3 linked regions of the Macaca fascicularis genome follow. The protein of the gene in region 3 purifies or fractionates together with the protein of the main gene of each other region. This does not show direct contact. Links are inferred from orthologs where the notes say so. Each region holds a gene or a part of one and is shown on either strand. Other genes may lie near its edges.

Region 1 (4,222 bases), on a different chromosome or scaffold from region 3:
TAACCATTTCACTATTAATAAGGCGAGTTGCTTTTTCATCCAGATAATGCACTGGATTATATGGCTATTCTCTCCTTGTCCCTCATTTACAAGTTGGCTTTTGGGTTAGAGATACAGTGCACAGATTTTTGCTTCTCCATGACAAGCAATCATCAATTCATTAAAGGAAATGTAATAAATGATTTCAGCTCCTTGCATTCTACCAAAGCAATGAATACTTTATGCTGTTCATGTGTGTAACTGTATACAAATTTTTAATACAAATATTTTATGTATCCTCCCAGGCATCTGGATTATGTTAACAGCAAGTTAGCAGGCCACATCATTCAGAAGATATGGGAAATTAATATTCTTGAGAAGAGAGGAAAGTAGACACTGCTTGAGAGGGTGGGGCATCCAGCTCCTCATGAAAAACAACTTTTGATAACACAGTACTATCACCTTCAAAGTGTCTGGTAAACATTAAGCTTTCTTTTCACCCTTTTAAAGGCTTAAAGTACCACACAAGTAGTTTGCAGGCCCCTTTCAGCTCCCAAAATGTTAGGATTCTACCATCAACTGGTAAACCTGGGTTCTAGTCCCAGCTCTTTCCGAGATGGGTGATGTGACCTCTTGCATGATACTCAGGCCTACATGGGTTCTTTCTTCATCTATAAAACAATCCCTATCATTCTTTCACCTTTGATTTCCCATTGCTGATACAGAATCAAAAGTCAATTTCAAAAGTAATTTATTCTTTTCAATAATTTAAGTATATTTTAATACTAATGTAAACATTTTTGGTCCGGGTGTCAGAATTTAGTCTGAATACCCATCAACTGCATGGAAATCTTACCCCTAAAAGTACCCATTTTTGTCAAGAAATACAGTAATTAGGTGTGACTTTAATGTAAATTAAAATTTAATGTACATGTACTTTCATCTCATATTGTCAGATAATGTAAGACTCCCATCTAAACCAGTTTTTTTTTTTTTTTTAATTTTAGATTTAAAACTTTAATGAAGACTTTTGTTGGGTGGGGTTGAGGTACAGAATCTTGCAATTTTTTTTTTTTTAGCACCGATAAGTAATACAATATAATACTGCAATTTTTAAAATATCTCAAATGAGTAAGATGTCATCTGTGAGATAAACTGATTTTTGTAAAATATTTCATTATTTGCCATATTGTTTGGTCATAAAGTGAGCTTCACTATACTGCAGCAACTGGCTTTTTCTACTATATAGAGGCATGTTTTAATAAACCAAATTGGTAATTAAAATAGTCTCACACTAAAGGAAAGAAGGGGCCTTTCACATTCTACTCAGAATTATCATCATATATTTATGAGGTAGGATTTATGTACGTTCTGCATGCCTTGATCTATTGTGCCTAGATTCATATCCTAGCTTTTATCATGATCTGTCTCAGGCAAGCCATTTAACTGGGAGGTCAGTGGCCTCACTTTAAATGTGTTGTGAGGATAAAATGAAATCAAAAGTATACTAAAAAGAAAATAGAAAACTAATATACCAAATATTGCTGATGTGGCAAATTAGCTCAATTATTTAAGTCCTTGCGTAGGGAAATGGGCTGAGGCCCTAATCTATTTATTTTCATCCCATGGATTTCTCTCTGAATTCCATATTTGTCTTTCACAGAGCCAAAGAGGACCATGGCTACCTATGCATTAGTCCACATAATTTACCTCTACCGAAAATTACTTCCTTATTGATCTTTCTCAGGCTTTGCTTTCAGCCGGACCAGATACCTGTCATAAAGTTATTCTACGTTTATGATTACTATTAAGCTTTTGCAATCGTGAGTCAACATCAAGAACAGAAACCTATCTGAGAGGTTTCCAATCGCATTAGCGGATTGGAATCGCTGCTCTGATGACTTTCTAAGGCTACAGGTGGGAACTGCCCATACCCGGTGGTGACCAAGCTGATGAAGTCTGCAGTTCTCAAAAGCACAGATCATGACATGCACTCCCCGTGGGGCGTCATTCCTTAAAAGTCTACTCACTACGAAAGCTCCTGGAAATGTCGGGTAGGTGCTTAGGGAAAGAATAAGAAATCCCTAGTCAGTCACAAGTCTCTGTAGTGTTACTACTACAGCCGACTCAGGAAACTGGCTAGGGAGGGGTAGTGCCGGCTTTCAAAGAAGTACTCAGAATTGCTATACGGTGCCAGAGCTGGCCTCTGGCAGGGAAGGCTGTGATGGCTTTGGCTCTGGTCAAGTAGGTTTTTACTTAGGGAAGGGTGTAACAGAAGTGGTTCCGCGAGGTGCCAAAATAATCCCCTTTATGGCCACGCAAGTCTGCAACATGCGGCACTCGGACAGTCTCTTCCCAATACCCTCCCTTAACGAGAGCGCGCGCCCGCGGGGGCCCATTACCATCCTGCAGGATGAGGGTGGGCTGCACCGCCTGTACCCGGAACTGTCTGGCCCTCCAGCCGGGGCTGGGCGCCCGCACCACCTCGCTATCGGAGAGCCAGGTCACGGTCTCAAAGTTGTCCCCGCGAGCCAGCGCCTCGGCCTCGGCGTGGTGCACGGCCACCCGGTCGAACTGGTAGAGGCCGCCGGAGTGGTCGAAGTGCACGTGGGTGGCCACGGCAAGCAGCGGCCGGCGCGCCGCGTCCTCTTTGGCCCCGCGGTCCTGCAAGAGGCCGGAAGAGTACAGGTACTCAGGGAGGCTGCGCAGCCCCAGGCCTGTATCGATCACCACGTCCTGCTCGGAGCCGCGCACCAGCCAGATGTTGGCACGGTTGCCCGACTCGTAGAAGCGTTCTTGAATCCAGAAAATACCATCGCCTAGAGACTTGTGGGCGTACCACTCGAGCGCCGACATGCTGGGCAGGGATGCAGCCAGGCGGGGTGAGTGTGGGCGTGCGAGTCTCCCACAGGCTGTGTAAACACCGGGCGCTGCGGCTGTGTGGAGCCGTCTGCCTGCAGCCAGGGAGGAGGCGTTGAGTGAGGCGGGGGCGGGGGATGCGGGAGTCAGAATAGGAGGAGGAAGGACGCAGACCGACGCTGCCAGTAGCGTGCGCTCTCGTACCCTCCCGCCAGGTCGGCAGCAAGCAGAGACTGCGCCACCAGCACGGGGGCGCAGGAGCTACAGCAGCCTCGGCAGGCGCACCACGAGGGAGCTGTAACGCAGGGACCACTGCAGCAGAATGGAGACTCAGGTGGTGACCCTTTCGCCACCCCGGGCGTGTGACAGCAGAGGCCCGGAGCAAGGGTGGGAAGCGCTAGGACCGCCCACCCACTGGCTCCCCACAGCGCGCACTCCTAGCTGGCGCGGAAAGTGTGGGGCCTAGCAGGTTGTACGGAGCCTACGGAGCCTGCCAAGGGCAAAAAAGCTCTTTGCCGAGGGGGTGGGGCCTGCCTAGGGAGTGGGCGGGGCTAGTTGGTAGGGCTCACGCCGCGGTCCTGGGGCCGCGTGGAGGGCGGTGCGAGTTTCTCCTGAGGTGGAACGAACGGCACTCGAGCGCCGGTGTTCTCTGCCAGCACCCCTTACTTGCCGGCCGGCGCTTCGGCTGCAGAGTTTTGCCCAAGCTTCGAGACTTAGGGAACAGGTAACCGAGGAAGCAATCGAAGACTTGGGAGGGGTGGTGAGGGTAGAGGGGAGTTAAAGGGGCATGTGGAGAAGTTGTGGGGGAAGTCGGGGGTAGAGATTCATTAAAGCGCCTCTGGGTTGAGGGGTGTTTGGAGATAGCTTGGTACCTCCCCTCCTTGTCCTGCTCCCTTCAGAATTTTTTTAAGTCGAATTTCCAGATCTTACCCAGTCTCCACTCCTGGGACTGTTTGCAGTGAGTTAGAAGGGTATTTATGCTCTTACTGATAGTAGGTTATTTTCCAAATCCAGTGACTTTATGATTTGTTGAGGCACTAGTCATTGCCGCAGATTGCAGCTAAGGACCGACTGTTCAGTATCTGTTTTCGTAACTGTTGGCATTTTATATCGTAGGGAAGGAAGTTGTTAATATGGTTTGTCTTTTCTTCTAAAAAATAAAATTCTGTATCCACCCTCTTTTTTTTTTTTTTTTGATTTGGTCTGTCCTTGGAAGAGAGAAACGCGAGTTGGTAGAAAGGCTCAAATAGAGAAAAGGAGCACCTGGTAAGGACGGGAAAAGTGAATAATGACTGGGTGTGGCCCCGCCAGCCTCTTAAATCATCCGCTCTGTTAACATCAGGTCACTGTCTCCACTCCCCACTTCCCAGCTATTGAAGCATCT
Region 2 (3,651 bases), on a different chromosome or scaffold from region 3:
ATAAACTGATTTTAGGGGTGGCCTATCAGAAGGAAGTCTCTTGTGACACTGTTGCCCATTTTGTCAATCTATAAAAATACAGAGAACAGTAAAGTTGTAATTCAGTAAACTTCATAGAAGATTGGCAGTTTAGGTAGCTGAATCTTGACCCTGTCAGTAATTTGTGGAATTTTGTGTAATTACCGATTTTACCCCCTTAAATAGACAGGAAGTGTTTTACTATCAGGGTGGGATAGGGACAGTGAAAATAGAAAAAGTATTTCTGCACCCTTTTCCCTAAAGCCTAATGGAAGAAATCTCACTAGTCATACAGATACAATCACAACAGGCTGATTCTGAGAGGATCCAGACTAACCTATTACTGTGGGCAAATTTTTATTTATTGGTCCTCAGTTTAAATTATCTTTTGATAGTTTATCAGTCTTTACTCTTTTAAATTATTTTGTTGGTAAATTCTGTATCATGTAGTAAAAATGCATGAGCTTTGGAATCAGACAGTTTTGGCTTTATATATAAGTCCTACAATTATCTAACTGGACAGCAGTAAGCAAGTTACTTTGTCTGTCCCAATTTCATCATATATAAAGAGGGCACAAATGGTACTTCCCCCATAGGAATATTATAAGAATTAAAGGAGCCACTATATCACCAGCAATACCACTGCCACCGTCATCATTATTGCCACCCTAACAGCTAACACTTCAAAGGCACTTGAAACAATGCTTTGTTGATCATTGTTTTGCAATGCTATCTCCATAGAATCTTTTCATTCTCTGGGTTCCTAATCTTGTAAAATTATATTATTATATTTTAGGGTACCTAACAGTAAAACTTAAGAGTTAATTTTAAAAGCCTATGTGCTTACTAAGCTCTACATCTTATATGCTTTTCATTATGCTATTTCCTTTGCTCCCAAAGAGTTTTATCCACAAATATTGTCACTTGTCAGAGTCCCTTTGTTCCTTCTGTGTTAGAAGGGGTCAGTGTATCCACTGTTTGTATGTATAGTATTTTTGTCATCATGGTATTTCTTATATTTTCTTGTACCTTATCATTACTAGGATACAAAGTTTTGTACAGGTATGGGTTTGTCACCTCATATCTGTATTACCTGTATGTGCATTGCATACTATGTTCTTCACTAGGAAGATTATTTAATTGAAATATTTGTGAAAATGAATAACTTTAGACTTGGAAAATCTCTTTTCTAGATTAAATATAAGACACCTCAACCTATAGGAGAAGTATATTTTGCAGAAACTTTTGATAGTGGAAGGTTGGCTGGGTGAGTATTCATTCAAGAGAATGTTTTGATTTATTAGCTTTTTTGAAGTTATTAGGTTTTGACCTGTGAAAATTACCTCTATTACAGATCTAAAAAAAAAATTAAAGTAGTTTAATTGACAATGTAAATCAGTACTTAGTATATTTTTGTAATTGATAGAATGTTTAATTTGAATAGTTATTTATTCAAAGAAAATATACTAATTCTGAATGTAAAGATGAAATTTATCATATGTATTCATTCTGTAGGACAGATATTAACACTCTTTAAGTTCAGATGACAAATATGAGTACTGTTCTATTACAATAATGGAAAAAACAAAAATTAATATTAAAATTATTATGTGTCAGATGTCCTAAAAAGAAATAGATAATTACCATATTTAATCCCCATTTTACAAGTGAAGAAACCGAGGCTCCTTGTACCTTACCTGTGATCATACAGTTAGGAAATTATAGATTCCAAATTCGGTTTAACTCTAGTCCTCCAGGATTATGTGGTGAAGGCATCCTTATTTAGCATCTAAGTATGAATTTATTGTTGAATGAAAAGTGACTGTATTGGGTGATCTTTTGTTGTGTTTCTGTATGCATTATATCTATAAGTTGCTGATTTTATTGTTAATGACATATATGTATGTTCAACTTTGTTTACAGATGGGTCTTATCAAAAGCAAAGAAAGATGACATGGATGAGGAGATTTCGATATACGATGGTAAAATATTTAAGTATTAGATATAACCGCTATGGCCTGGAGTTCACTAACTTTTGAGATTATATTTTTGTTAAATGGTGTTGGCTGGAGTCCCCCATGCTGCCTCGCAATAAAATGTTCAGTCTTTTATCTTGTCCCTTTTCAATATTTCTGAAAACCCCTTTGCTATTTCTGAAAATCTCACTCCTAATCCAGTTAATCTAGTTTTCTAACTGAACAGTTGAATTTTCATTCTACTGCTGGTTAGTCTTTTGCATTTCCTGAAGCAGTATTTCCCAGGCTACTGTTGTCTCTATGGTTTCATCTCAAGCCTAGACACACCTAGATCAAATTATAATTTATGGTAAGATTCTCCTAGCAAGTAAAAAGCAGAGGATAACTAATGAGAGCTACAAGATATGTGGCTACTTCTGGAATCCTCATCTCCAGGCCTATATCCATTATCATAGGGTGTCTAATAGGATTATCTTCAGTCTTAGCTCTAGAAAGAAATGTCCTATAGGCAGGGGTCATATTGTCTTCCGTAACAGGACTACCTTAGAGTATAACCAACTATTTTCTTCTTTGTGATCTAAAAACCAGCCTCCTTGATTGTTATATGCTGAATCACGATCGGCCTCTTCTCACAGTGACTGATAGTGGTAATGTCTTCTTTCTCAGAGGACCTCATACTCATAAACATGTGACCTTGCGCTCAGACCCCAATAAGCAGTTACATCACAACAGCAAAACAGATAGTATGTTGGATGTCAGCTGTCTGATTCCTTTTCATAGTTTCTGTTTAGTGTAAGATAAAGGTCATACCTACATGTCTTCCTTTGCATCGTGTTCGCCATCCCAGCAAATCCCCTGTGCATGCATACACACACACACACATATATGTGTGTGTATGTGTATATATGTCTATATGCTTATCTAGTCCAAAAAGGACACCACCTCATATGCACAGAAAAAGCAGTAGAAGCAGTAGTGGGATTGCTGGACAAATAGTAGATCTGCTTTCAGTTTTTTAATAAATCTCCATGCTGTTTTCCATAGAGGCTATATTAATTTACATTGCACCAGCAGTATATAAATGTTCCCTTTTCACCACATCCATGCCAATTGTTTTTTGACTTTTTAATAATGGCCATTCTTACAGGGGTAATGTAGTATCTCATTGTGGTTTTAATATGCATTTCCTTGATGATTAGTTATGTTGAGCATTTTCTAAGCATGTTCATTGGCCATTTCTGTATCTTCTTTTGAGAAATGTCTATTTATGTCATTTGCCTACTTTTTGATGGGATTAATTTTTTTCTTACTGATTTGTTTGAGTCTCTTGATTCTGGATACTAGTCCTTTGTCAGATTCACAGGTTATTAATATTTTCTCCCACTCTGTGGGTTGTCTGCTTACTCTGATGATTATTTCTTTTGCTGTGCAGAAGTTTTTTAGTTTAATTAGGTCCCATTTATTTATTTTCATTTTTGTTGCATTTGCTTTTAGGTTCTTTGTCCTGAATTTTTTGCCTAAGTCAATGTCTAGAAGAGTTTTTCTGGTGTTCTAGAATTTTTATGGTTTCAGATCTTAGGTTTAAGTCTTTAATCCATCTTGAGTTGATTTTTGTATAAGGTGACAGGTAAGGGTCCAGTTTCATTCTTCCACATGT
Region 3 (3,651 bases):
GTTTTTTCCTCCACAATTAGAAAGTATAGTACTAAGGAAGTACCTAATCATGAATTCTACACCTCAAAGAAAGAAAAACCCACATGTATTTGACTGCAAAACAATGTACCTCAAGTATGTAAACTCCACTCATATAAAACATACCTGGATCAGTTGCTGATACAATGGCACCAAACAGTAGGCAATCTGTAAAGTAAAAATCTCCTGCAAGTTGTCCCGTTACCTTCATCAGCGTTACACAGCCATACATTATTGACCTGTTCAATAAACACAGTCCTACTTTAGAAAAAAATATCAACTGTTAAAAAATTAGGATAAAGTAAGAATAAGAAGATGGGTTTACTGTAGTACTTTGTGACTAATCCCAAATTTAATTCATGTCATTGAAATATGGTAATACTTTGGTCTTAAGGAAAATTCAAACAACTTATTACCTATGAGAATACTGCAAAAGTCTTTAGACCCAGTCAGGAATATAACACTGCATAAATCAAAAATATATGATTTTAAAATTATAATTTGAAGGCTACAAAGTATTTTAAGCTTCAAATACTTACCCAATAACGAAACAAGAAATTGCTGTTCCAAGAAAAGCGTATGCTAGGATAGACCCGAGATTTCGGAAAAAATGTCTCTGACAAAAAAAAAAAAAAAAAAAAGTTACACTGTTAGAATACTTACCAGTTATTTGAAAAAGAAAAGGTTTTCTATGCTATGCTAATATTAAATGCATTATTCACTAGGACTAAATGCATTATTCACTAAGATAAATAAGAGAAAGCATTCTTGTACAGGTATAAATTTTAACATCTAAAAAGGGTATGGAGAGGAGAAAGGAGGGAATCTGGAAAGAACAGCCCATTTCTGAAGTGTCAAATATTACAAAGCCCACGGAGTTTCAGATTATTCAAAGTATATGAAAGACAAAAGGACTTACCCTTTTCAGGCTATAACCTGCATAAAATATGATAGGAGGAAGTAATATGTTGAAAAATACTTCTGGATCAAAAGTAACCTGTTAAAATAAAGAGTTCTTTTAGATCAATTCCCTAGAAGACCTCATATTCCATTATCAAATGATCAAAAAGAAAAAATACTAAATGTTAAACTAGTCAAAAGCAAGAACATTACTGTGTTAACTTTAAAATATTTCATATAGGATAGCTTCTGGGCCGGGCGCGGTGGCTCAAGCCTGTAATCCCAGCACTTTGGGAGGCCGAGACGGGCGGATCACGAGGTCAGGAGATCGAGACCATCCTGGCTAACACAGTGAAACCCCGTCTCTACAAAAAAAAAACTAGCCGGGCGAGGTGGCGGGCGCCTGTAGTCCCAGCTACTCGGGAGGCTGAGGCAGGAGAATGGCGTAGACCCGGGAGGCGGAGCTTGCAGTGAGCTGAGATCCGGCCACTGCACTCCAGCCTGGGCGACAGAGCGAGACTCCGCCTCCAAAAAAAAAAAAAAAAAGGATAGCTTCTGTTCTACTTCTCAACCAAACGACCAGGAGATAGCATTGGAACAATCAGTTAAGGCCTATTTGTGGAAGGTGTATTAAAATACTATGCGATTAAAAAATGTTTCAGGAGGCTGAGGCAGGAGAATTGCTTGAACCTGGGAGGCAGAGGCTATAGTGAGCTGAGATTGCACCACCGCACTCCAGCCTGGGTGACAGAGCAAGACTCCAGCTAAACAAACAAACAAAAAGTTAAAAATAGGGCCAGGCGCAGTGGCTCACACCTGTAATCCCAGCACTTTGGGAGGCCGAGGTGGGTGGATCACCTGAAGTCAGGAGTTCAAGACCAGCCTAGCCAACATGGTGAAACCCCATCTCTACTAAAAATACAAAAATCAGCCGGGTGTAGTGGCACGTGCCTGTAATCCCAGCTACTCAGGAGGCTGAGGCAGGAGAATCGCTTGAACTCGGGAGGCAGAGATTGCAGTGAGCCAAGATCGTGCCAGTGCACTCCAGCCTGGGCAAAAGAGTGAGACTTTGTCTCAAAAAATAAATAAATAAATAAATAAGAGAAAGGATGAACATTATTTTTGCTTTAAATAAAAGAAACCTGGCTGGGTGCAGTGGCCCACGCCTGTAATCCCAGCACTTTGGGAGCCCGAGGCAGGTGGATCACTCGAGGTCAGGAGTTCGAGACCTGCCTGACCGACATGGCAAAACCCCATCTCTATTAAAAATATAAAATTAGCCAGGTATGGTGGTGCATGCCTATAATCCCCGCTACTCGGGAGGCTGAGACAGGAGAAATGCTTGAACCTGGGAGGTGGAGGAGTCACAATCGTGCCACTGCACTCCAGCTTGGGCAACAAGAGCGAAACTCCGTCCCAAAAATAAATGAATGAATGAACGAAACCCCAAACTGGTAATATAAAACTTAAGAGTACAGTATTATTGTTGGCAAAAAGAAACAGATTTCTTACATAGATAACATCTCTAAAGGTGTATAATATTGTAGTAAAAAGTTTCTGTACGGCTCAGATTTCTACTTCCGATAGTCCACTCATTGTAAGATCTAGTCACCATAAAAATGTAAATGCCCCCCTCTGTTCATAAGGCTGCAGCAGAATGTGACATGAACACAAAGCAGCTACACACAAACCCATGCTAAAACTTCATTTACTAAAACTTTTAAGGAATTGGAATTTTCCACAGGTGGAAAGAACTCTTGCTGCAAGGTAAACCTCAAGTTCATATGAAATTTTAAAAGCATTAAATATGGTCAGAAACACAACCAAGTAGCTATAAAAGTCAAGTCCTGCCTGCACTCCTAGCACTTTGGGAGGCTGAGGTGGGTGGTTCGCCTGAGCCCAGGAGTTTGAGACGAGCCTAGACAACATGGTGAAACCCCAGCTCTACTAAAAATACAAAAATTAGTTGGGTATGGTGGCACGTGCTTGTAGTCTGAGTTACTAAGGAGGCTGAGGTTGGAGGGTCGCCTGAGCCTGGGAGGCGGGGGTTGCAGAGAGCTGAGATCATGCCACTACACTCCAGCCTGGGTGACAGAGTAAAACCCTATGTCAAAAAAAAAAAAAAAAAAAAAAAAGTCAAGTCCTGCCAGTGTAGCAGACAGAAGTGAAGGCAAACAGCAAAGGGCAGGAGAAAACAAAGATATATGATCAAAGTAGCACTGAGAAACACCATGATAAACCTATGAGGGAGACAGGAGAAAGCAGCTCCAGGGATGGCTGGGAGCGAGTACAATTGCAACCCAAACTCTAACATAAAGCTTTATGCACAGCATGGTACAATACCTCAGACTCACACTTAGGGCCCCCGAAGTTGTGTCAGATTGTGAATCAAAGAAAGATTAAATTGTGATCAGTATAGAATACAAGCAAGGCAAGAAAGAATTGAAAGAAATATTAATAGAATATTTTAGGTATTATCAAATAAAGCCAACGTGCTGAAGTACTATAAAACTATAAGGATCGGCTGGGCACAGTGGCTCATGCCTGTAATCCCAGCACTTTGGGAGGCCGAGGCGGGGGAATCACTTGAGGTCAGGAGTTGGAGACCAGCCTGGCCAACATGGTAGAATCCCCTCTCTACTAAAAAATACAAAAATTAGCCGGGCGTGGTGGTGGGCGCCTGTCATCCCAGCTACTTGGGAGGCTGAGGCAGGAGAACTGCTTGAACCCAGG

The links.
Region 1: the proteins of SLC9A6 (region 3) and MBLAC2 purify together in Homo sapiens (co-immunoprecipitation; 3 studies listed by BioGRID and IntAct, counting the BioPlex papers as one, with this or other methods). This does not show direct contact. The link is inferred for Macaca fascicularis from reciprocal best matches to the Homo sapiens genes SLC9A6 and MBLAC2.
Region 2: the proteins of SLC9A6 (region 3) and CLGN purify together in Homo sapiens (co-immunoprecipitation; 3 studies listed by BioGRID and IntAct, with this or other methods). This does not show direct contact. The link is inferred for Macaca fascicularis from reciprocal best matches to the Homo sapiens genes SLC9A6 and CLGN.

Annotation. Positions count from the first base shown.
Region 1 is NC_088380.1:94,475,425-94,479,646, forward strand, and holds the start of MBLAC2 (acyl-coenzyme A thioesterase MBLAC2), read right to left. Parts: upstream 2,932-4,222; 5' UTR 2,836-2,931; coding exon 2,382-2,835; intron 2,034-2,381; exon of another isoform or gene 1,906-2,033; intron 1-1,905. UniProt on the Homo sapiens protein: Acyl-CoA thioesterases are a group of enzymes that catalyze the hydrolysis of acyl-CoAs to the free fatty acid and coenzyme A (CoASH), providing the potential to regulate intracellular levels of acyl-CoAs, free fatty acids and CoASH.
Region 2 is NC_088379.1:145,557,196-145,560,846, reverse strand, and holds part of CLGN (calmegin), read left to right. Parts: intron 1-1,211; coding exon 1,212-1,285; intron 1,286-1,941; coding exon 1,942-2,000; intron 2,001-3,651. UniProt on the Homo sapiens protein: Functions during spermatogenesis as a chaperone for a range of client proteins that are important for sperm adhesion onto the egg zona pellucida and for subsequent penetration of the zona pellucida.
Region 3 is NC_088395.1:142,125,939-142,129,589, reverse strand, and holds part of SLC9A6 (sodium/hydrogen exchanger 6), read right to left. Parts: intron 1,016-3,651; coding exon 938-1,015; intron 635-937; coding exon 558-634; intron 258-557; coding exon 145-257; intron 1-144. UniProt on the Homo sapiens protein: Endosomal Na(+), K(+)/H(+) antiporter. Mediates the electroneutral exchange of endosomal luminal H(+) for a cytosolic Na(+) or K(+).